Coturnix japonica: one gene and its partners. The main gene of each other region encodes a partner of the protein of the gene in region 4 in a complex. Links are inferred from orthologs where the notes say so. Each region holds a gene or a part of one and is shown on either strand. Other genes may lie near its edges.

Evidence for each region.
Region 1: ARPC1B (region 4) and ARPC3 share a complex: the UniProt entries of both Homo sapiens proteins name them as parts of the arp2/3 complex. The link is inferred for Coturnix japonica from reciprocal best matches to the Homo sapiens genes ARPC1B and ARPC3.
Region 2: ARPC1B (region 4) and ARPC2 share a complex: the UniProt entries of both Homo sapiens proteins name them as parts of the arp2/3 complex. The link is inferred for Coturnix japonica from reciprocal best matches to the Homo sapiens genes ARPC1B and ARPC2.
Region 3: the proteins of ARPC1B (region 4) and ARPC5L are in contact, whole or in part, in a cryo-EM structure (PDB 6YW6), measured with the Homo sapiens proteins. The link is inferred for Coturnix japonica from reciprocal best matches to the Homo sapiens genes ARPC1B and ARPC5L. Residues at the interface, in NP_005711.1 of Homo sapiens: Arg118, Lys138, Arg142, Phe164, Ser201, Gly203, Trp204, His222, Asp223, Ser224, Thr225, Leu240, Ala241, Ser242, Glu243, Thr244, Leu245, Pro246, Phe281; in NP_112240.1 of Homo sapiens: Asn21, Lys22, Arg102, Gly139, Leu140, Gly141, Ile144, Arg145, Thr148, Arg150, Lys151.

The regions. Positions count from the first base shown.
Region 1 is NC_029530.1:4,512,525-4,518,360, reverse strand, and holds ARPC3 (actin-related protein 2/3 complex subunit 3), read right to left. Parts: upstream 3,795-5,836; 5' UTR 3,666-3,794; coding exon 3,660-3,665; intron 2,914-3,659; coding exon 2,814-2,913; intron 1,971-2,813; coding exon 1,894-1,970; intron 1,747-1,893; coding exon 1,678-1,746; intron 1,458-1,677; coding exon 1,331-1,457; intron 935-1,330; coding exon 840-934; intron 546-839; coding exon 483-545; 3' UTR 80-482; downstream 1-79. Other genes in the region: GPN3 (GPN-loop GTPase 3), read right to left, coding at 4,847-4,909, 5,265-5,393. UniProt on the Homo sapiens protein: Component of the Arp2/3 complex, a multiprotein complex that mediates actin polymerization upon stimulation by nucleation-promoting factor (NPF).
Region 2 is NC_029522.1:24,164,185-24,170,047, forward strand, and holds the start of ARPC2 (actin-related protein 2/3 complex subunit 2), read left to right. Parts: upstream 1-2,050; 5' UTR 2,051-2,176; coding exon 2,177-2,250; intron 2,251-5,863. Other genes in the region: C-X-C chemokine receptor type 1-like, read right to left, coding at 1-868, 1,463-1,952. UniProt on the Homo sapiens protein: Actin-binding component of the Arp2/3 complex, a multiprotein complex that mediates actin polymerization upon stimulation by nucleation-promoting factor (NPF).
Region 3 is NC_029532.1:8,068,569-8,074,214, forward strand, and holds the start of ARPC5L (actin-related protein 2/3 complex subunit 5-like protein), read right to left. Parts: upstream 3,522-5,646; 5' UTR 3,474-3,521; coding exon 3,334-3,473; intron 2,914-3,333; coding exon 2,841-2,913; intron 2,322-2,840; coding exon 2,145-2,321; intron 411-2,144; coding exon 348-410; 3' UTR 1-347. Other genes in the region: PPP6C (serine/threonine-protein phosphatase 6 catalytic subunit), read right to left, coding at 3,956-4,204, 5,030-5,239, 5,381-5,460. UniProt on the Homo sapiens protein: May function as component of the Arp2/3 complex which is involved in regulation of actin polymerization and together with an activating nucleation-promoting factor (NPF) mediates the formation of branched actin networks.
Region 4 is NC_029529.1:4,413,096-4,417,814, reverse strand, and holds the end of ARPC1B (actin-related protein 2/3 complex subunit 1B), read right to left. Parts: intron 4,136-4,719; coding exon 4,031-4,135; intron 3,716-4,030; coding exon 3,493-3,715; intron 3,102-3,492; coding exon 2,994-3,101; intron 2,910-2,993; coding exon 2,703-2,909; intron 2,400-2,702; coding exon 2,324-2,399; intron 2,253-2,323; coding exon 2,056-2,252; intron 1,982-2,055; coding exon 1,891-1,981; intron 1,733-1,890; coding exon 1,694-1,732; 3' UTR 1,460-1,693; downstream 1-1,459. UniProt on the Homo sapiens protein: Component of the Arp2/3 complex, a multiprotein complex that mediates actin polymerization upon stimulation by nucleation-promoting factor (NPF).

The DNA of each region.
Region 1 (5,836 bases), on a different chromosome or scaffold from region 4:
ATGAGCTCAGACCAGCAGCTCCTCAGAACAAACAGCATTTGCCGATATCACGATGGCTAACCATAAGACAAAGCCATTATCATGTTAATTACAAGCTAAGTTTATTGGGGAGGGGGGAAAAAAGAGGTAAAAAAAATCACTGCATTCACCACAACATTGAGACTCCATCCAGCAGAGCAATTAACACCACTCCAGGCACAAACGCTTCTCTTTAAACTCCCCGCTGTAAATGCTAACTGTAGCCACTGATAATAAAGCAGCCTGCATCTGGAACAGCATTATAGGAATCATTTATTAAGCACCAGCTTAATATTACTTGCTTACAGTACTCAAATGATCTTTTAACTTTACGCCCCTCTTCCCCTCGTTGACTTTTTTCTTCATATACGCTTCTTTTTCTTGGTACAAAATATATCCAAAACAAAGGCAGAATATTTCATACACCTGGCTGTGGAAATGCTTCATGGTGCTGCTTTGTCTGTTCACTGCCCAGGTCCAGACAGGCTCTTGTTCATGAACTGTCTCTTCACAAAGCAGATCCACCACTGCAGAAGAAAGCACACAGTTAGAAAACAGGCAAGAGATGTTTCTATCTTATAAATGAAATAGTGACTTAAAAGTAGGTTTAATACCAATTCCAATATATTTATTGCAGTGTAATAATGAACATCAGAAAGCTATGCCTTTGGAACTAAATTAGCTTGAATAATTTTCATGATGAAATGCAAATATATTTGCACATGAAATACAAGACCAGGATGTAATTCATGCATCTCCATCTTTTGGAGAAAGCAACCAAGCCTCTCATTGAATCTGTGATCATTAGGCCAAATCCTTACCTTACTGGGCTTGTCACTCTGAGGATCAAATACTTTTTCACAAAGTCGAAGGCCAGTTTCTTGCCTGAGCTGCTGCAAGTATGCTCTCATCACCTCTGAAATACAGCACAAGGACAAAGTAGCATTAAGGCAAACTAAACTGAGTGTGAAGGCAGCGGACATCACTGCCTACAGCAAGAAATGTGAGCTCTCACATCTGTAGGCCCTTGCTGGCTGTTCATTTTACAGCCATACTTGGATTTGTTATATTTGTATGAGTAAAACATATCTCAATTGTTTTCTTCTTTCAGCTAAGCCTTTGCCCATCATTATGGGTTTCCTCTCTGCCAGTGTAGGAGTTAGCTTGAGCTCTGTTACAGAATCTATCTAGCAGTTATAAGATCAGAAGACCTCAGAAAACAGAGCTAGAAGTTTTCTAGTTGTAACTGCAAAAACACAGCTGGTAAAGCTTGGACCAAAGCAAGTCTTTAGGGGTCTTTGTTAAGTCTTACCTTCCTCTTGCTTGTTGGTAGGTTTGGCATAAATGGCATTAAGTGGAAAGCCAGGTTCCCCAGGGATTGGGAAATTAGTGATTCCTAGCGTGTACATCTCTTTCTCTCCTTGGCCTTTAGAGTTGCACTGAAAGAACCAACCAAACAATTGATTACAATCCCTAAACCATTAAGACTTATCAAGAACAGCAGTGCAGTGTCCCTGCAAAACCACAGCCTCAAGTATTTGTTTTGTGGTTCTGTAAACTGGGGTTGCAGTGAACAGAGTCTGCTGTGCCTTTAGGAGATGAATACCAGCAAATACTCTCCTGAGTATAATCCCCAGAACAGACTGTTTCCCTCCTTACCTTTTGCAGCTTTTTCAAGCACTCAGAAATGTAGAGAGTTACGTAGATCAGTGTTCTGTCAGCCTCGTTCTGCAAAACAAGAGTAAGCACAGAGCCCGGTCTGTTAGACTACAAGGGACTTCATGGAACTGCTAACAGTTTGAAATAGGAACGAGTTCATGGCATTTGTGCCAGCAATTTCCTCATAGGAAAGGAATTATTGCAGAAAAAAAATACCTTAATTTCATAATTTTTGAAGAAAACGTTGGCTTTGAAGTAGTAGATGGCTTCATCTATAATATCTGTATCTTTAGCTAAAGCAAAAGAAAGAAAATGAAAGAAAACCAAAATTAAGCAGTGCATTGCTACACATTTGGTCATAACTTTTACATGTTGAAGTACACAAACAGTGTTTCTTGCAAAAGCAAAATCATTTACAAGAAGCAGAGGACTATGGTAAATTTTACCCGTGTGAAAGACTGGTGATCTCTGACCAAACCATTTAAGTTTCTTACTCTTAGTAGGACTTTTAACTCCCTTCTTTTCCCATGACTTCACAAAGGGCAGCAGGTTGGCAGTTCTTTGGTATATCCTACCAGTTGAGTGACTCACCAGAGTTTTAACAGTATAGAACATATTAATATATGTATATTAATATGTATAACAGTATAGAATATAATATATATGCAACAGTATATAGAATATACTGTTAAAACTCTTTCTGAGGGCCCAAAAATATATTTGGGAGAAATTAACACCACAATCAAACAACCTTCCTCATTATTCTCCTGAAAAAAAGAAGAGGAAGGGTAGATTACATAGTGGCAGGTTGACCTGCAGCTTTCACTTTCTTTTACAAACATGCTTGAATTCTGAAATATTTCCTTTTTCAAACCGAATTGCCACAGTTAAGCATCCTCAGCTATTGCACCAAAGCTGAGTTCTGCAGCTAAACCTCCACTTCCTCTGACAGCAAAGGGTTAATAGCACCACATCCTCACAGCCTGCTGAAAAGAGGCACAGGAGGAAGTGTGAAAATACTATCTGTAGGCAGTGTTAATTGCTAAAGCAGCTGAATTACCCAGAGCCGTGCCAGATAACAGCCATGGGATCATCATTTTTTCTAGTTGGCACCACTTATATTCTTATAAACTTACTTTCTCGAGGTGCTGGGCCTTTGAACTGGCTTCTGATGGGTAACAGTGCCATGTTCCCCACTAGCTTGGTATCCGAGTCCATTAAAGTTGAATGGTAAGCCTAGAGACAAGGGAAGACTGCTTATTATTCCTGCAGAATATTGCCCTTCCTTTATCCTGTTAAAACAGAGTTTGGTTTGTTAGGGATATGATTTAACTGGGAAGTATTGGTGATGGTTGGACTGGATGATCTTCTAGGTCTTTTCCAACCTTGATAATTCTGTGATTCTGTGGTGCTTCCAGGAACCTTTCCTTGCACAAACAATGGTCATTTCTTACTTAGGCCTTCTGCAACTCAGCACCATTCCAGCGATGAGCACAAAAGCATTTATTGGAACCATTTGTCAGTGGTGGTGGAAGAGCACAGGCTGAGAGAGATGGGGCTGTGCAGCCTGGAGAGGGCTGTGGGGAGAGCTGAGAGCAGCCTGTCAGTATCTAAATAATAACCAAAACCAGGCTTATCACATACACACACAAAAGGCCTTTCTGTGCATTAAAACTGATGTAAGTGAATAAGAAGCACTGGGATGTGCTACTTTCTGGTGTGGCCTTGTGGTGCGGTTCCCCCAGATGCACTCCTGCCGCCCGGCTGGGTGCCACGGGGGGGGGGGGGGGGCTGACTCTGTGAGGTCAGAACGGGATAAAAAAAAAAGGGGAAGAAAAGAGGAAGGCGGCAGGTCCCTCCACACCGATCCGCTCATCAGTGCGAGGCTCCCGGCTACAGCCCCCCTTTCATCCGCCCCCAGTCCGTCCCTGGCGCTCAGCGCCCGCCCTGCCCCTTCCCTCCCCCTGCCCCGCTCCGCTCACCGGCATGGCGAAGGGCAGGGCGCAGCTCGGTGCGACGGCAGCGGCGCTGAGCTCGTAGCAAATCTTCCTCTTCCTTCAGGAAATGAGGCAGCGGGGCGGTGCGACAGGGGGAAGCCACAGCCCGTACCGCCCCGAGGAGCCGCTCCCTGATGGGGAAGCACAGAACTGACCCCCCCCCATTACGCGCTGGGTCTGAGGGAACTGTTGTCCTTGTGAGGCAGAGTGCCCCATTTGCCCCCCTTTTGCCCCCCCTCCACCTCCTCGTCACTTGAGTCAGGCCGAAAAAATGGGGAGATTTGAAGCTGAAGGGCTGGGTTTCTCCTTTCCGTGAGCAAAGGGCACCTCTGCTGTGAGGATGGGCTGAGGGAGATGGGCTGTTCAGCCTGGAGGAAAAGGCGGCTGCAAGGAGTCCTTAAAAAGCTGCGTCCCCAAAAGCTGTGTTCTCTAATTCTAACCTCTTTCTGGTTATGGCAATGACTACCCTGAACTCTCACCTAACTGTCCAGGGCTGGGAGTAGCTGTGTCATATCCTCAGGTTTAGATAACTGCCACTGCCTCAAAGTATTCAATCATTGGTTTGGTTTACCAAGCCGCTCCAACAAAATGACATTAGATGCTCTTATTCTACTGGGTTTGAATCCCCCCTGTGGCGCAAGTGGTAGAAGTGCTGCTCTTCTACACATAGGCTCAAATCCTGGGAACTATATAATACATAGAAAAAGATGACACGCCTATATATGAGCATTTACTGATATTAAGCTTTACGTCACCACAAGGCCCTTTTTAGAAAACACTTTTATTCAATAATCATTAATAAAACTCGTTCCTTAGGATCAAGGAAAGGTTTATAAATACTTGGATATGACTAGAAGAAAAGCATCCTCCAATTCAGCTGAAATTAGCTAATAAATTGGATTAATATATTTTAGGAGAAATAATAATAAAAGATATTTTGAGAACGTTCGAGAGTCCAGGAACATTCTGTATTTACAAAAGAACTATTAACAGTAATACAGCTCACTATATTCTGTCGTATACACCGTCATATAGCTCACTTCTCACTAGCGATGTTAGTTATCTTAAAGGCAAAACATCACATAAATATGTTTGTGTGGAGGTGGATGGTTTTTGCTTTCTTTAAAACACACAAGCGATGCATTTTCTTCCTCTTTTCCAGCATCTGCTTTTTACTCATTCACGTGATCTTGAAAATACTCATCCACGAGTGCAGATTTATCTTCTTCATATTCCTGCAACAAGAAAACAGAAAACGTAATACCTGACTTTTCTCTAGTGACTGTTGGATGCTGTCAGTTCTGCAATGCTTTATTTTAATAAGCACAACAATGTCCAGTGCAGTTCTATAAAACAAGTAGCAAAACTTCCTGAACAGCAGTTTGTTTCTAAAGCTCTCCCATATGTATACATCAAAATCCAGGTGTGGTTATTTTGCATATCCTGAGAGTAGGAAACTGAATTTTTAAGAAGATCTTAGTGGCATACAATCATCTTTTCCAACCTTTAACATTGAAATAACATGATTATATTATGATTTCTATTGTGGATCCTTTCTAATTTTTCATCTTATCTTCAGAAATATCTTACCTTCGGTTCTTTGAATTCAAGATCTTCTCCATACTGGATGGTAGTGTCTATGTGCTGCAGAACTATGTTTATACTTTCCTCATCGGAGCGATCAAAAGGTAGAAATCGAACCATACCATAGTCATCAATCTACAGCAAGGATTCAAAAGACATCAGTAGGGAAATACACTACATTTTCTCATCGCATCATTGCTGCTCAGCAGTCTGGACAAGGAAAATCTAAGGCTGCTTAAAGCTATGCTGCACGTTAATGGCAATTCTCCACTCTGAATTCCTGGCTATCAGTCCAAAGTTCTACCCAGTCAATAAAGCTGTCTCCCAAAATGGCTTACAGAATATGATTCACATGAATTTTACTGGCTACAGTCAAGTATTATCAGGAATCTTATGCTAACCTGAAACATCAAAAGCTGAGTTAGGACAGGCAAAAGGAAAAATGTTTGAGTGCCTGGTAATCTTTTAGATTCAGGCTTTGCTAATAAATCTGCAGGTAGACACATGGCTTCATGGGGCAGGGGGAGAATGTTATAGTGCATACAGTATCTAGCTCAGCAGTGAGGTCAGTAACCACA
Region 2 (5,863 bases), on a different chromosome or scaffold from region 4:
CTCCTCTCACAGGTCTCAGTGATGGCATGCGTCCTCATGAGAGTATCGCTCACCAGCGTGATGTTGTAGGGCAGCCAGCAGACAAGGAAGACCAGCACCACAGCTAGGATGACCTTCATGGCACGCTGCTTCTGGACGTTCTTGGTCTGCAGGAGGGTGTGCACGGTGACACCGTAGCAGAAGAGCATGACCAGGAGCGGCAAGGCAAAGCCAAAGGTCTGCGGCAGCACCCGCAGCACCACCCTCCACTTGGTGGTATTCTCATTTCCAATGCGCTCGTAGCAAACTGTGCCATTGCGGTCTGAGACAAACGCCTCGCGGAACAGCAGCACAGGCAGGGAGAGCAGCACCGAGAACACCCAGATGCCCACGCAGACAAACTTCACCCAGTGTCTCTTCTCAGTGGCAGCGCGGGTGGCGTAGACGATGGCCAAGTAGCGGTCCACGCTGATGCAAGCCAACAGCAGGATGCCGCTGTAGAAGTTGGATTCCTGCAGCACCGAGATGGCTTTGCACATGACGGTGCCAAAAACCCACTCGTGGGCCCAGTAGGCAGCCCAGAGCGGCAGGCTGAGGGCAAAGAGCAGGTCGGCCACAGCCAGGTTGAGCAGGTAGATGTCGGTGACGGAGCGGTTCATGTGGCTGGAGGTGACCACCAGCACCACCAGCCCGTTGCCCACCATGCTGAGGAGGAAGACCAAGCAGTAGATGAAGGCTACGAAGTATTTGTTGGCTACAGAACCTTCATTACGGCATGGGGAAGAGGAGACATCGATGTCAGGCAGAACCAGGCTGTAGTTGCCATAGTCAGAAGTGTAGTTGTATAAGATATCGAAGAGTTCATCGGCGTAAAATGTCCCCATTTTGCCTGCAAAGCACAAAGCAACGTGGGCTCAGGGCACATCCAGCACTTCCAGCCCCCATTGCTCTCCCACACCCCATAACCTCACCACACCATACAATGAACAGGCTCATGCCTGAAAACTATCCCCATACGTCCTCCTGCCCAACAGCCCCGTGTGGACTGCTTCACCTCAGCACTGTCCCCTCCAGGTTCAGCCCCAATGAAGGATCCCTCCTGAGTCCCTCCGGTTGGTGTGAGTCCTTTGAATCCTGATGTCCTCCCCAAAAACCCTTCTCACACCAGCTCCCCGAGTGCACCACAGTACCCAGAGCAGAGGAAACACGCTTCTCCCCACTATATTTTTGGCTTCTCCTTCCGATTCCCCACCCAAATTCCCTGCAGTTCCTATGGGGACAGATTTCTGCCCACAGAAGGGGAAGTCTCCATTTCCTCCCTGGACCCCACGCAGAAAACTACTTGGGGACATCAGCTCCCCCCAGGGTTGGGGTTACCCTACGTGGAGCTCAGATTATGCTATGCAGAGCCCTCCCTGCACCCCTTGCCCAGGTAAGCAGGGTGCCCCATGGCACCCCATAGCCAAGCATCCCACGCACTCACCGCCTCTGCTGCACCCCAAATCTTCTCCCCTTCCCAGCTCCAAGCCCGGCTGAGGTCTGCCACGGGATGTTACCCCAAAACGGAGACCCTGGGGAGCACGGGGACGTGCCAGCAGGTCCCACACCTGCACCAAGTGAGCCAGGCTCAGAGCTGGCACTGCCGCTTTATGCAGCGCAGGGAGGAAGCAAGGTTGCAAAACCTTCTGCAGCACGAAGAGGAAGCGGCAGCAGAGGGGACACCTTCCCTGCACCCCCAGCCCAGGGCACAGCACACCCGCTTTGCACGGCTGGGGGGGGTTCGTGGGGCTCTGCTGGCCATGGGGCTTCACCCCATCCCTATGGGTGCTCCGGGGACACCCCATATTATCCTGGGGCGCTCTCACATCATTAGTATAACGCTGGGGGGGCACTGTAGGGACTCCATCATCACACATAGGGACTCCATCATCCCACACAGGGACTCCATCACCCCACATGTAGGCAGTCCCCATTCCGGCTCACCCCACCATTCCCCCTTCACACCCCACATTCACTCCCGACCCCCATCATGTAGGCGGTGTGTGTTGGGGGGGGGCGGGACGAGCCCGGAAGTGACGCGCGGGCTCGAGAGCGGAAGCGGCGGCGCAGGCTCGGGCGGGTCCCCGGTGCGCGCAGCGGGCTCGGCTCCCTCCGGCCTCGGAGCGCTGAGAGCCGGTTCCCCAACCCCGGTACCGACATGATCCTGCTCGAGGTCAACAACCGTATCATCGAAGAGACCCTCACGTTGAAGTTCGAGGGCGCGGCCGCCGGGTAGGGCAGGGAGATGGGTCGGTGAATGAGGCCGGGGCGGGGCGGAGGAGGAAGCGTTGCGGCCTAGTGAGGCCTGAGGGAGGGGAGGGGGATAAGGAGCTAAGGGATAATGTCTATGGGAGAGGCGTGGGAGGGGCGGGTGGCACCGAGCTGGGCCTTGGGTGTGAGGTATGACAGGGCAATGGGGACATGGGGTGGGGCCGGCAAGGGTGGAGGGGGCTGAGGTGGTGGGACTGAGTGGATGAATGGAAGATTGTGTGAGGCCAGGCTCCATGGGGTGCTTAGGGCTGGGATTAGGTGAGAGTGATGGAGCTTGTGGTGTTGGGGTGTGCCATTGGGATGGGAGGTGTTGGCAGGGTCAGAGGATCCGCTTGTCCTGGCTGCTGGCATAGGGCTGCTGAGCATCTTGGCTTTGTGGAGGTTGTAGGGCAGTTGATCTGCACCTGTATCTTTGGTCTGGATCATATAGTCCCCGGGGAGCCACTGAGTGTTACTGACAGCAGCGCTTCAGTGCTGGGAAGATATTGTCTGAGCATAGTTCAGCTTGAGACAGTCATCTCACGTGAATGCCCTTATCTGCAGCCATGCAATCTCCAGAAAGAGATGCTGCCTTAGTGGTGGTCAGCCCTTAAATGGGATCTAGGAGACGTGGAGTCAAGCTCCACCCCTTCCAGGAGCACAGCTGAATTACCTTCACCTGTGCTCCCACAGCTCCCACTGTGCTGCCTTGTGGGATCACCACGCTGCTCTCTTCCCTGCCATCAGCCTCTTCATGTGATTATTTAGTGCAACATATCCCCAAAGCACCACACTGGGAGGAGAGAGCTCTTGGGTGCTGCATTTTCCATTAGGAAAAAAACCTGAAGTATCTGGAGGTTAATAGTGTGTGTCAAAAAACACTCGTTCACCACAAGCTCATATGGAGGCGTTCTGCTGGTGGGAGCCTGTGTGCGTGTCCCTGCATCAGTCCAAGTGCAGCAGCAGCAGTGAATGGAGGATGCAGCCATCAGGAGACTGAGTGCAGCTCAAAGCCCTGACTCAGTGCAGCTAGAGCTGAGGTTACTCACTCACCTCCAATCTACAATGTTTCCATTTTGCTGTACAGCAAAGCTTGTTACTGCCTCAGCGTGCTTGCCTGGCATACCAATCCTTCCTGGATCAATTTGCTGTGAGTGTGGCCAATGATATTCTGCCTCTTGTTCTATGGGCCGTCCTTTCTTTTGCATAGAAGACCAGCTAAGTGCTCCTTCTGGATGAGTGTTGCACCCTCAGAATGTTGCTGGAGGGGAGGAAGTAATTCACTTCTGCATTTTCTTCTGTGCTTGTGCTGTTCTGCTGTCCAGGAAAGAACAAGGCATGGATGAAGGTCAGAGATGAAACCAAGGAAAATGGAAATCTACTTCTCTGAACAAGTCTTTTTGGGTACTGGTGCTATGCCATGCCATGTTTATTCATGAGATATTTCTTTTCCATCCAGCTGGTGTTCCAGGGTCATCCTGTGGCATTGAGCTTGAAGGCAGGAGGGGATTTGCTCTGTTTGGGTGACCGTCAACCCAAGATGTGTCCTGGGGATGGACCCAGGGTGGTCAGGGCAAGGACACACTCCAAGGGATTAAGTGATTGAGAGGAGTAAGTCACTGTGAGCTGACCCTGAGTTATCTGCCCTGCAACTTGAATTGTGCAGATGTGATGCACAGTTTATCTAAACTTGCTCCATGATGTGGGCACTTCCCTCTCCTTCTGTGACTGTGCCATGGATCCAGCAGCTCCCTGAGCTGAAAGATTAGTCTGTCAAAGTGCTGAAGTGGGGGAATACCTGGGAACAATAACCTATTTTCAAGGTAAAACATTTCTGTCTCCTGTGTTCACTTCTTTTTAAAGCACAGCAGAGAACTACCCCCCCAAAACAGATTTGCCCTCCAGTTTTGGTCCACTCTGATCCCAGCCAAACTGTAGCAGAGGGCTTGTGTTCTTAGGTATGGTTCTTCAGCCTTACATTGCTGGCAGTTTAGGGCAAGCTAATTAATCATCTGTCTCAAATTGGTACTTACTGTTTACCTGCTGTGCAGGAGAAGAAATTGCATAGGTGGAGAACAGTGTGATTTTTCCCTTGGTTGGAGGTGGAGGGGAAACATATCTCATTCAATGTTAGGTTTCTGTAAAGCTTTCAATAGGGGCAAATTTGCAGGGTTTCATGAGTGCTGGTTGAATGGGAAAACAGCTGAAGCTTCAACTTCTGTGCTGTAAACCAGTTCCTGTAGGCTGCTTGGAGAGTTTGGCTGCAACTGCATCCACATCCTCTGTGGTATTTCCCATTTGTGGTCCCTGTGGTGCTCACCTGCTCTGCAGTGGAGTGCTCTGGCCTTGCTGGGTGAAGGTGGGTGATACGAACTTTGTGCTGCCAGTGCTGCCTGGGAGTGACTTCCTTGTGGGGTAGCTGGGGACAGCACAGGGATGGAGGAGCTCAGGCAGCCCAGCATCTGCAGAATGGCCAATCCTGGAGCAGGTGAGAAGCGTTCAGGTGATGTTTGCACTTTGGGGTTCGGTGCAGGATCAGCAGCACCTCCTGCAGCTGCCGCGTTTGGTGCAAGACAAGAGCAGATATCAGCAGAGCCTGCAGACTGGCTGCCGTGCTGACAGTGGAAGCTGGGGTCCCAGCAATGCTGTGGGTCAGCACACATGGGGACTTCCATTACCGCACAGCAAAGTGCTTCTCAAGTTTGTGGCAGGCGTGCTGTGGGAGCTCTTTGATTTCATGCACGCTTACAGCTCACGCAAAGTAGCTTTTGTTAGTCGAGTGGGGCCTGGGGAGAGAGGGGGGGAGGAACAGCTTTGGATAATTTTAGACATTGCTCATAATTTTTTTATTGGGGTGACCTTTCTGGAGCGAGAGCCTGCAGTCTGTCACTGAATCTGGCTCACTCTCATCCAACAGTGCATCAACTCGGTGATCTGCAGGCTCTGCTCAGAGCTGGAAGCTCGAAGCTTTGAAATATTCCCCCCACTCCTTTCATGAGGTTTTTTTTCCCCCCCCCTCCTCTGGAGCGAGATATTCTAATATCTGTGTGCCTGCAGCTTTTAAAATAATTGCCATCTTCCTTTATTGGGTACAAACCTTAATTGCGATGTGGGAGCTGCTTTAGTCATCTATCGATGTGGTTGTTGGCCAGGCTCGCATTTGCATGCAGGTCTGTTTAATGCAGGAGATGAGGGCTCTGGCTAATTACACAGCCTTCGTTCTTCTGTTCTTCAATTTGTTGTAACATATGGCCGAGAGCCTCCGTGGCCTGAGAATGAGGCAGGGAAGTTTGGAGGCTGTCCGAATCAAAATTGAGGAACTGCTGTCAGGAAAAAGGAGATTTGTTGTTGCTCTTAAGTGCTTGTTGGCATCTCTCCATGGGTTCTGTGGCTCCTCTTGGATGCGCTGCTGTGGGGAAAAATCTGATTTGGAGCTGGCTTTGCGTTAGATGGACTTTGGTGCAGGAGCCATTTAGAGATGAATAGGGAATGCAGGCAAGGGGGAATGCAGGCAAGAAGGAATACAAATCCATCAAGGCCTCTTATTGTTCTAAGCGGGGAGCAGCTGGGATTTGGTGTGGATTTGACTTCAGAC
Region 3 (5,646 bases), on a different chromosome or scaffold from region 4:
CTCCCTCTTAAATAAGTAGCACAGACAGGATCTTGGATCACCACGCTTTGATAAAGCAGCATCTGAAAATACCTGCTCACTTTCAGTAGTAGGAGGCAGGAGTTTGCCTTCTCTCTGCCTTAAAAGAAGCAAGCAGGAGAATGTCTTGGCTCCTGTACGTGATAGTCAGAATATACAGGAATACCTTTACTCTTTTCCCACCTTTAATGTTAAAAGCAGTCCAAGAGGAGGTTTCCATAGTATTTCAGTAGATTGGAATCTCTAATCAAGATGGACCAGCATCACTTCAGCTACTTCCTTCTTCTGGGTCCAAAACTGATGGTTGTCTTGCTTCGAGTTAATAGTCTTTAAACAGTCTTTCTTGCTGTAAGAACTCTTACTATGGAACCTAGTCCACCTGCTGCTAATGCCTGTGGGGTGGGAGAAGGAGACAAGATCAGTTCTACAGTCACACACGGCTTACGATGAAACCTTCATTGTTCTTAGCAGCCTGCAGGGCTGGCAGTGGTTCTGCTGGTACAACTTGTGTGTTCCGTCACACAAAGCGCACGCTGTATTTGTTAACTCCTAAGCAATGTTTTATGCTAATTGCTACAACCAGAGCATCAGTTCTCAAGTTGTTCCACCCCTCTGTACCTGTGCAGGTACCTTCTGCACTGCTAAAACCTTCAGCTTCCTGCAGTAACAAGTTCTACATTCACACACTTATTCCTTTGCCACATTTCAGCTCCTTGCCTGTTCCTGTCTTGGGCCATGAACTCGGGAGCTCTATGCCCCCTGTCCTCTCTGAACGTACAGATGAGCTCCTTCTTTGACCCAGGTTTTTGCAGTACATACACAGCGCTACTCTCTAAACATGCTATAAATCTAAGAAGCAAGGAAATGAAGGGTGGACAAAACAGCTCATTGTAACACATCCCACCACATCTGAAGGCTAAAGTACACAAAACCTTATGAACTGACTTGCATCTAGTGAAGGACACCGATGATGCAGAATACCTTACACTCCTGCTCCTGAATGGGGAAAGGAGGAAGGGCTTAGTCTGGTTTCATTTGCATCCTTAATAAAAATGAAACATTCTTCTAAAGTCTAGGAGGAGATGCATGTAAGTGAGGGCCGCAGAGGAGCTGCTCAGATTAGACCTGACGGATGCAGAAATGGCATCAGGCCCTTCCAGGGGCCAGGCAGGTGCTGCTGAGCTGCTGCCCACAGTCAGAGTGAGCTGCACGTCCTGCCTGCACTGCTGGAAAGCAGAACACAAAGCTCTAAGCAGCTCCCTGCACACTGCACAACTGCAGCTTTCCTTTGAAAACAAAGGGGAAGAGATGCTTGCACGTGTCTACGTGTTCTGAGCAGTGACTTCTTTCCAGTCAGGGCAGTCTTGTGTAATGTTACGTACTGGGAGTATCAACCTACGGTGACCCAAAAAGAGCCTCCAGTAGGAAGAACAACACAAAATGTCAAGCACAAACATGTTCCTTCCTGTGCAATTTCCTCCCCCTCCTGCCTATCGATATTCTGCAAGGCTGGGGACAGCTGCCAGGAGCTGGAGTCACCATTGCACAACTTGTTTTAACTCATCACAAGGAAGCACGCCCTGTGCAAATGACCGGCCAGCAGCCAGCTGTGAGCACAGCACATACAGCCCCCCTCGCTGCGACCCTGCCACAGAAACGCCACTAAGTGCCACTGAGGCATCAAAGCCTTTACTGTGCAAACTGAGCAGGTTTGCTATAACTGGTCAGCTCGGATGTACTTCAGCACAGCGTTTCACTGACAAAAAGCATCACATCTGAGCCATCCTGGGCACCCCATGAGCCAAAGGCACCTTCAATCAATCAATCAATCAATCTCACCTCCACTCCCAGCTGCTGCTCCTTGTGGGGGAAACCACCACCAGACACAAGTCATAAACCTTCCTGCAGCTGACGCTGCTCTGCCACACCCACCCCTCCCATCCCTCCAGGCTGAGGAGAGCTCTGAAGTACCACAGAAACTCCATACGCCCAACACCAAGAGGCCAAGAACAAAAGGCAGCACCGAGCTCTGCTCCTCAGGGAGGATCCCCCTCATCGCACACCTCCCCATCCAGGAGGTCCTGAAAGCACCGACAGTGACAACAGAGCCCAGAGCAAACACTCACCTTTTCATGCCATTGGAGTAATATTGCACTGCTATTTTCTGTCGGCTTTTCAAATCCTTTATAAATATACTTCATTAACAAGTCAATCCCGTTTCTGTCTAAGGAGTTCACCGCTTGTTCAATTTCACTGCTCTTAAAAGACGTGAGGACTCTGAGCATGGTGCCCTGCGCCTGCTCCTGCACAGGAAGGAAAACGGCATTAGGATCAGCAAAGCTGGATGTGACCCCAAGTGCAGCAAAGCACTCGGAGCAGCGGCTGCGCTGATGGTGTGAAGATGCAGCAGCCAAACAGGAGGAAGTTTTACACTTTAAGTTTCAGTAGTGAGAAGGAAGAAGAGCAGAGAGCTTTAAAACTGGACTTGTTGGTGTTCCCACCTGGGGGGAACCACCTGAACTGCACTGCAGAACAAACCTACAGCCCGAGAACAACGAACAACGTCCGGCTCCTGCAGCACAAGATCCCCTGGGCTGTGCTCTGTGCTCCCTCTCAGCCCCCGGCTGCTGCCGGCCGCGTTTCCCCACAGCACGGGCCGCTCCCCGGGCACACAGCAGCACCGGGCCGTCCTACAGCAGCACCGCGACACCCGCACACAAACCGCAGCGCCGTCCTTCAAGAGCAGACGGACGGGAGGTGCCATGGAGCACAAGGTCAGCGCCGGGGGCGCCGCTCGTTACCGGTCCCGGGGCCGCACTCACCTTCATGGCCGCGCTGCGCGTCTGTGCGGGGTTGTTCCTTAGGGCCGCGTGCAGCGCGCGCAGCGCTTCGCCTCTACGGCGAGAGTCAAGGAGCAACGGCGGCACCGGGAGCACCGGGACGGAGCGATAAGGGGAGGGGGCAGGGGAGGAGGGCGCTGCAAAGCGGGTACCTGAACTACGGCCACACAACGGCAGCGGGGAGGGACGGGACCGGGGGCAGCACGGAGGGCAGCACCAAGCAGCACCGAGCAGCACCGGGCAGCACCGGGCAGCACCGAGCGGCACCGGGCGATACCGGGCAGCACCGGGCGATACCAGCCAGCACCGGGCAGTACCGGGCAGTACGGGGCAGTACCGAGCAGTACCGAGCAGTACCGGGCGATACCGGGCAGCACCGGGCAGTACCGAGCAGCCTCAGGCCGCGCTCCCGCCCCGCAAACCTTCCCGAGGCCCCGCGGGCAGCGCTCGGTGGCCGTGCCGCCATGAAGGATACTGCCTCAGCAGCGCCTCCACCTCGGGGCTCGCGTCGGGTTCGGCCGCCGCCGCCTCCTCGGGCTCCTCCACGAAGCGGTTCTCGTCGTACTGATCGATGTCCAGGCGGCGGAAGCGGGACGAGAGCGTGCTCCGCGCCATGCCGACGGAACCGGAACCGTCGGAACCGGAACCTCCCCCGCCGCTCCGCCGGAACCGGAAGCGCGGAGCCCGCCCCGCCCGGAGCAGGAAGGAGCGGAGCGGAGTGCGCCCCCCCGTCCCGTCCCGTCCCGTCCCGTCCCGTCCGGCGCCACGGAGCGACACGGCGCTGAAAAACCACAACGAGCCTTTAATTACAAAGTGGGCGGCGGCACCAACGGCCGCGGAACTTTGCTGCTGAAATCTCGTACATCTACGGGAGACGAACGGAGCCGCACGGAGCACCGGGAGCAGCCGAACGGCGCCGCTCAGCGGAGAAACGAACAACGAGCGGTTCGGATCCGCACAAATGGATCCGGGGGAGGGCGGGGAAACGGCTGCGCAGCGCAATGACAACGAACGGCGATAAGTTAAAGATAAAAGGCAGAGGCGGCATCTCAGCAGCAAAGTGCTCAATAAAAAGTATATTGTAGGGCGGGGGCGGCTCAGAGGAAGTAGGGGGTGGTTGTCCGGGGAGGGATCACCCGCTCTGAGTCTGGGACGGCGCGGAACAGCCTCGGTTCTCTCGTATTTACGTCCTGGAAGACCATGATGGAAGCGATGTTCCCGCAGCGATAGCAGTAATTGGGAGCTGACCACACCGTTACCAACTTCTCGTCAAACATGAATTTGTAGCCTTCGTGAACCAGCTGATGTGCTCTGCAGATGAGCTTCAGGTTGTTGATGTGGACAAACTGCAAAGAAAAGTGGCGTGTCACAGCTCTGTGCGTGGCCGCGCAGCAGCTGCTGCCCAGCAGAGCTCCTCAGCGCTGTGTGGGCCCAGCTCCGGGCTCAGCTCTGGGCTCTGCAGCGCTGACAGCACTGACCCACCCGGGAGGTTTTCCCAAGGCCTCTGAGAGGTGCAGGCTGTGCTAAGGACACTCCCTGTGTCCCTGTGCTCCCAGCACAGCTCTGCGGCCCCAGCCATGTGTGCCCAGCACCCCCACAGAGCTGGGACTGAGCTGATGGTGCTGGGAGCAAACCGCTCCTGTCAGAGCACAGAGGGCAACTTTGGGCTTTGAAACCTGAACAGTGAGAAACACTCCTGCCTGTGACAGCCGTGGTGCCTAGGCCTGCACTGCCCACGCCTTTCAATCCCTCCTGAATATGCTGCAGAGGAGCAGAGAACAACACACTGCATGAGGCAGGGATTCATCTTAGGGCCGGTTCAGAAGCCTGGGAAGTTCAGTGGGTCTGAGCCTCTTACTATGTTGCAAAGTAACAAAAATTAAGTCAAAGCTAGTATTTCTTCTTCCAAATCATTAGACAAGTATTCTACACAAAGCCTAGTAATTCTAGTTAGTCTCACTGCATTACACTTTTTAAACACAAGGTGTGCATTATCTCACTTGGCACTTTATGAGGGGAAAAGAGTATGTCACGAGAAAACCTCCCTCACCTCCACACCAACTCAGTCCCCTCACAAGGGAAGTTCCTTAATCCACTCGTCACTACAGTAAAGTCAAACACTTCATCTCACACCTGCAATTATGGGACGCAGCACAGGACGGCATCGTTACCTCATTTGTCACCTTAGCACCAAACAGCCAACCCGCCCCTCGCGGACTGATGGCCCACGTATCCACATCTTCTGGATCAGACCAAACCAGGTCACAGAAGGCGCCTTTATGAGGAATTTCTTGATTACGTTCAATGGTGCGAATCTGATCGAGTGTCTTGATGTCCGGAGACAATCCACCGTGCACACAGAGAATCTGCTCATCTATTAGCTGGAGAGAAAAAGGAACACAAAGAATGCTCAGTATTTCAACCAAACCAAGAACCTCTCCAGCACCACCCTCACCACCACCAATTCTTCAAGTTATATTTAGACAATCTACCTGTATCTTTTTTAAGGTGTTTACACTTACAGCTGCTATTGTGAGCATGTCAAAGACTTTGGTGCAGTATCTCCAAGCATTAGCATTTCCGTATTTGGTTTGGCACTCATCTGTTAAATAGAGAATTTTTTTCTTCTTAACAGACCAGAAGGAATTCAGGCAATATGATCAGAGTCAAACAGAACAGAACCTAAAAAGGCAGATGTAAACCAAAAAGCAAACAGACAAATAAAAAACAGCTGGGAGCAACCGGTGAGCACTGGCTGGAAAGCACTGCTCACTGCTTCTGTGGTCCA
Region 4 (4,719 bases):
CTCCAAGAGACACTGACAATGTGTTTTGTCTTCATCCTGGCACAATTTCCATTTGGGGTTAGGGGCAGCTGCTATCCTCGGTGCAAAACTGTGCTGAACAGCAATTCTCTGTAACAGTTTGAAAACCTGAATGTTTTTGCTGTTTTTAGGTCTAAAAACTCATAGAACGGGAATGGGGGGTGGGATGGGATGGGAGGGGGCATGGGGAGGAGGGAGCTGTGTGGGAGGGGAGATGCTTCAACTATTAGACTGCAAGAAAATAGATTGTGGGGTCATTGTGGGGTGGGGTGCGTGGGGTGGGGAGCTTTGACTTGCTCATGAAAACCCAAAGGATAAGGTATCTGTGGAATTCTTTTGGGCAGACAGCCCTTAAACTTTTACTGCAGGGTGTTGCAGTGTAATCTGGGAGCCTGACTTCATGGACATCTGGGCTGTTCTGTTCCTTCCCATTTTCACCCCTCCTTTCTCACAGCCATTCTCTCCCCCTTTTCTCTCCTCTTGGTTATTTTTTGTTTTCTTCACCTGATTAGGGATAGTGCCAGTTTTTAACCACATTATCCTTTGTTTAAAGGAAAACAGGTATATGTATCATGAATTGTATTGGACCCAGATGGAAAAAAAGCCCAAACCCACCTTGATGAAGTTAAAAAAAAGAAAGGAAAAACAACTGAACTTGTATATTTGGCTGATTAAAATGTAAACGATCAGAACTGCCATGTCCTTGTGTAAGTGAACTGATAGAACACACAGTGCAGCACAGTGTGGTCTTGCAGTGGTTTCTTGTGTCTGCTGCTTCTCTCTGCTGTTCACGATGTTGAGTTTGGCTCAGGGTTTGGGAGCCCTATCAGCAGCTGCAGCCCGAAGGCAAGAAGCTTTTCCTGCTCTTCTCTGATGGACGTCTTGCACCATCTGGTTAGTGGAGAGGAGGAAACAATTACCTTCAGGCTGCTGTTGGGCTCAGTCAGTGTGTTAGGCCATCCCTGGGCTGTGCCACAGCGTGGAGCTGGCAGAAGATGCTTTAATCTGGTACATTGTGGTTGTGGGGCACCAGCAGTTCTCAGCCTTATCGAGAATTGAGGTGGTGTCAGAGGATCAGGTGGAAACTTGGGGTGAGCCTTGGGAGCAAAGGGAGGTGGCTGGGGCCTACAGGAGGAGGGGAGGGAGAAAGGGGCTGGTTCAGGTGCACTGGGGTGGGTGACACATAGAGGTCTTTGCCCAGTAGAACACAGCTCCATTGTGGGAGGATGGACCAGAGCTCGGAATCATGGAGTGACTCAAACATCTCCATCCCAGTGCTGCCAGCAAGGATCCGTCCTGGGGCTGTGAGTGTAGGGGCTGCACTGCATGGAGGGGCTGCCAGGAGCCGTGTTAACCTGAGCACATGCAATTAAACCCTGCAGCATGCTGTAATCACATGTACTCACATTAAAATGCTTTAAAAGAAAAGAAGAAAAAAACATTGGATTTATATGGGAAAATCTTTATTATTGAATTCATAAAGCGATGTATGACCAGCATCGGTTAGGATGGTAACAAAAATAGTATTAAAAAAACAACCCAACCAACAACCACCTTTATCTCTGTGTTAGAGCAGCCCAGGGCTGGCTGGCAGCCGGGAGCGCGGGGCAGAGGGAGTGCAGCAGTGCAGCAGCAGAGCGGGGCAGCTGCGGCTGGGACCTCCTGGCTGCATCCTTCATTTGATTTTGAGATCCTTCAGTGCCGACTCCAGGCTCTGAAACAAGAAGTTGTTCAACAACTGCCTTATTTTTTTACTTCCTAAGGTGAGTGGAGCTGTGCAGACCCCAGACTGTAATCAATGGGGACATTGATTACACTGAGCTGGGGCTAAGGAGGGACTGATGTGGTTGGGGGGCTCGGGAGGGGCCTCACCTTGATGTCCCAGATGCTCATGCCACCGTCCATCCCCGTGGTGCAGAACTGCGAGCAGTTGGCTTTGCCCCCAACCAGCACAGAGATCTGACTGTGGAGCGCAGGGGAGGGAGGTCAGACTGCAGCCCCGGACCCTCCCCCCTCTCACGGATGCCCCATCAGCACCTGATGCTGTTCTTGTGCACTGTATCCAGCGCAGCGTTGGCTGTATCAGAGCTCGCCTTCTTATCCAGGTTCTGGAAGCGCTCGCGGGCAGTGAGGCCACGCTGGGAGCTCTGCTTGGGGACATCCAGCTTCCCTCCAAAGCTCAGCGTGCCCGAGCCCTCCTCGTAGGTGAACAGCATGGGGTAGCAGTCGTGGCCCTGGGGATGAAGTGGTGGTCCTGCTCAGAATCACCTCGTGCTCTGCCCGCCCTCAGCCCAGCCCAACTCACCGCGGCCACCAGGCTGCTCTCAGTGATGAAGGTGACGGCCAGGAGGGGAAGGGTTTCAGTGCATAGGGAGGCAACACTGAAAGGGAGGGAGAAAGTGTGAGCAGTGAGTTGAGACCATGCTGAGCACAGCACAGCTCATGACGTGGGAGTGGGGCTGTGATGCTGCAAGGAGAGGCTGTGCCTCCTCCTGCACCCGGCTCCACTCAGCCCTTCACCCCCACCCCAGCTCCATCCCAGCTCCACCCCTGCATCATTTTGGGGACCATCCAGCCCACAGAAAAGCAGCTGCCTTCCCCAGCGTGGGCAGCCACAAATCACTGCGTAGCCCATCCCATCCAAAAACTCCCCCAGATCCCCCTGCAGCCCCAGCCCTGCTTACGCCATCTTCTTGTTGGCATCAGCGAGGCACAGGGTGCTGTCGTGGCTCACCCAGGCCACTCGGTTGCCGCTGGCTGAGAAGCAGATGCTGTGCACCCACCCACAGCTGCTGCTCGACTCAAACATCAGCTCCCCAAACGGCATCTTGGAGCCCCAGGGCGTGGGGCTGGGCCGCTCCTCCACCTCCTTGATGTAGGCTGAGAAGATCCTGGGAAGGAGAAGATCGCCGTGGAACAAGCTCCATCCCTGCTCACCCCATAGAGCCCCCTGGGGTCCCCCCTTTTCCACTCACCGGCACTTGAAGTCGCAGGAGCCGGCAGCCAGCAGCACGTTGTTGGGATGCCAGTCCAGGCTGAGCACTGTGGAGCGGATGGGCTTCTTGATGTGTTTGCACACCCACCTGCAGGGAGAGCGGCGTTGGTGCCCCTAAAGCCCCCGGGTACAGTCCATGGCTCTCACACCACAGTCTGGGGGTGATTGGGGCCCCCAGGAACTGCCCTTGGCTCCCAGCCTGTGTCAGCAGCTGGGCCATGGGGACAGTGCTGTGTCCCCAGCTCTTAGGTCCTGCAGCACTTATGTCCACCTCTCCATCAGGCTCCTCCTCTGCCTCCTCCTCCGTCTCCTCAATGACTCCCCTATCTCACCTCTCATCCCTCTCCCCCACCTCCCCATCCACCCATCTCCCCTACACTCATTTCCCCACACATACACCCTCATTTCCCCACACATACGACCCCTTCCCCTCCATCCATCCCCACCCAATGCAGGATGGTGACCTCAATGCCACTCACCAGTCATTCTCCTGCTCAAAGTAGCAGATGGAGATGAGCCGGGAGCCGCTGCCCACAGCAAACTTGTTCTCCTTGGGGGACCACTTCACACAGCGGGCAGCCCGGTTGATCCTCAGGATGACCAAGGTGGGTTTCCAGACGTTGCCCTTCAGGGTCCAGACGTAGGCATTGCGGTCGGTCCCACATGTCACCAGCCGGTTGCTCTCAGGAGCCCAGTCAATGCCTGGAAGGTGGGGGGGGCAGTGATGTGGGGGGAGCCGTGTGGATGGGGACAGGGCATGAGGGGGCCATCTGGAGGTGGGGATGTGGCTGCTCTCTGCCCCTGAGTCCTTCTCTGCTATATTCCCCCAGTCAATTTAATCCCAACCCTTCTACAATGTTATCATCCCATCCCCGGGTGCCTCCTGACACACTGAATTGGGACCAGGAACACCAGACACAGCCCTTCCTCTCCTTCACAACCCCTGTCCCAAGGCCACCAGTGTCACTGAGTGGGGTTGGGACTGACCTCAGAGCTCGTCCATCCCCATGCACTCACCTGTCACCTGCCCGTTGTGCTCCTTCAGCTCGTGCACCTTGCTCCACTTGGCCCCGTCCTTGCGGTAGATGTGCACCTCGTGGTTATTGGGGCACAGCGCGATCTCTGTGGGGTGAAAGCAGTTCTGACGGCCCCACGCTCGCAGGGTCAGCCCAGGTTTGATGCATCCCTGTCACCAGCACAGCCCTTCCCGTGCCCAGAGCCCTGAAGGCACAGTAGGGTCCTGCCCCAGCACTGGGCTCTGGTGTCAAACTGTGCTGGGGGAAAAGGGAACACCTCCCCCAAACCCCACAGCTCAACTTCTGCTGTGCCCCAGTCCCAGGGCTCTGCTGGGAGGGATGGGCTGGGATGGCTGTGGGTGTTTGGTGCCCGCTGGCCTCATCCTGGCCTGCACTGCAGCCCCATCACAGAAAGCCCTTTTTGTTCTCTCCCACATCCCCTGTGCGTGGCCGGGAAATGCCATCGGCCATGAATCACCGGCTCTGCTCCACTCCCTCCCCTGCAGTGGGACCGAGGGAGAGTGAGCAAGGAAGCGGGATGTATCCTATGCTGACCCCAAAACCAACGTGCAGGGCAGCACCCGCTGCCCCAGACTCAGCCCCATGGCAGGACCAGCCCCACGCAGGGGATGACGCTGCAGTGGGGACCTTTGGTCCTGGCAGGATGTGATGCCCACCCCCAACATTGTG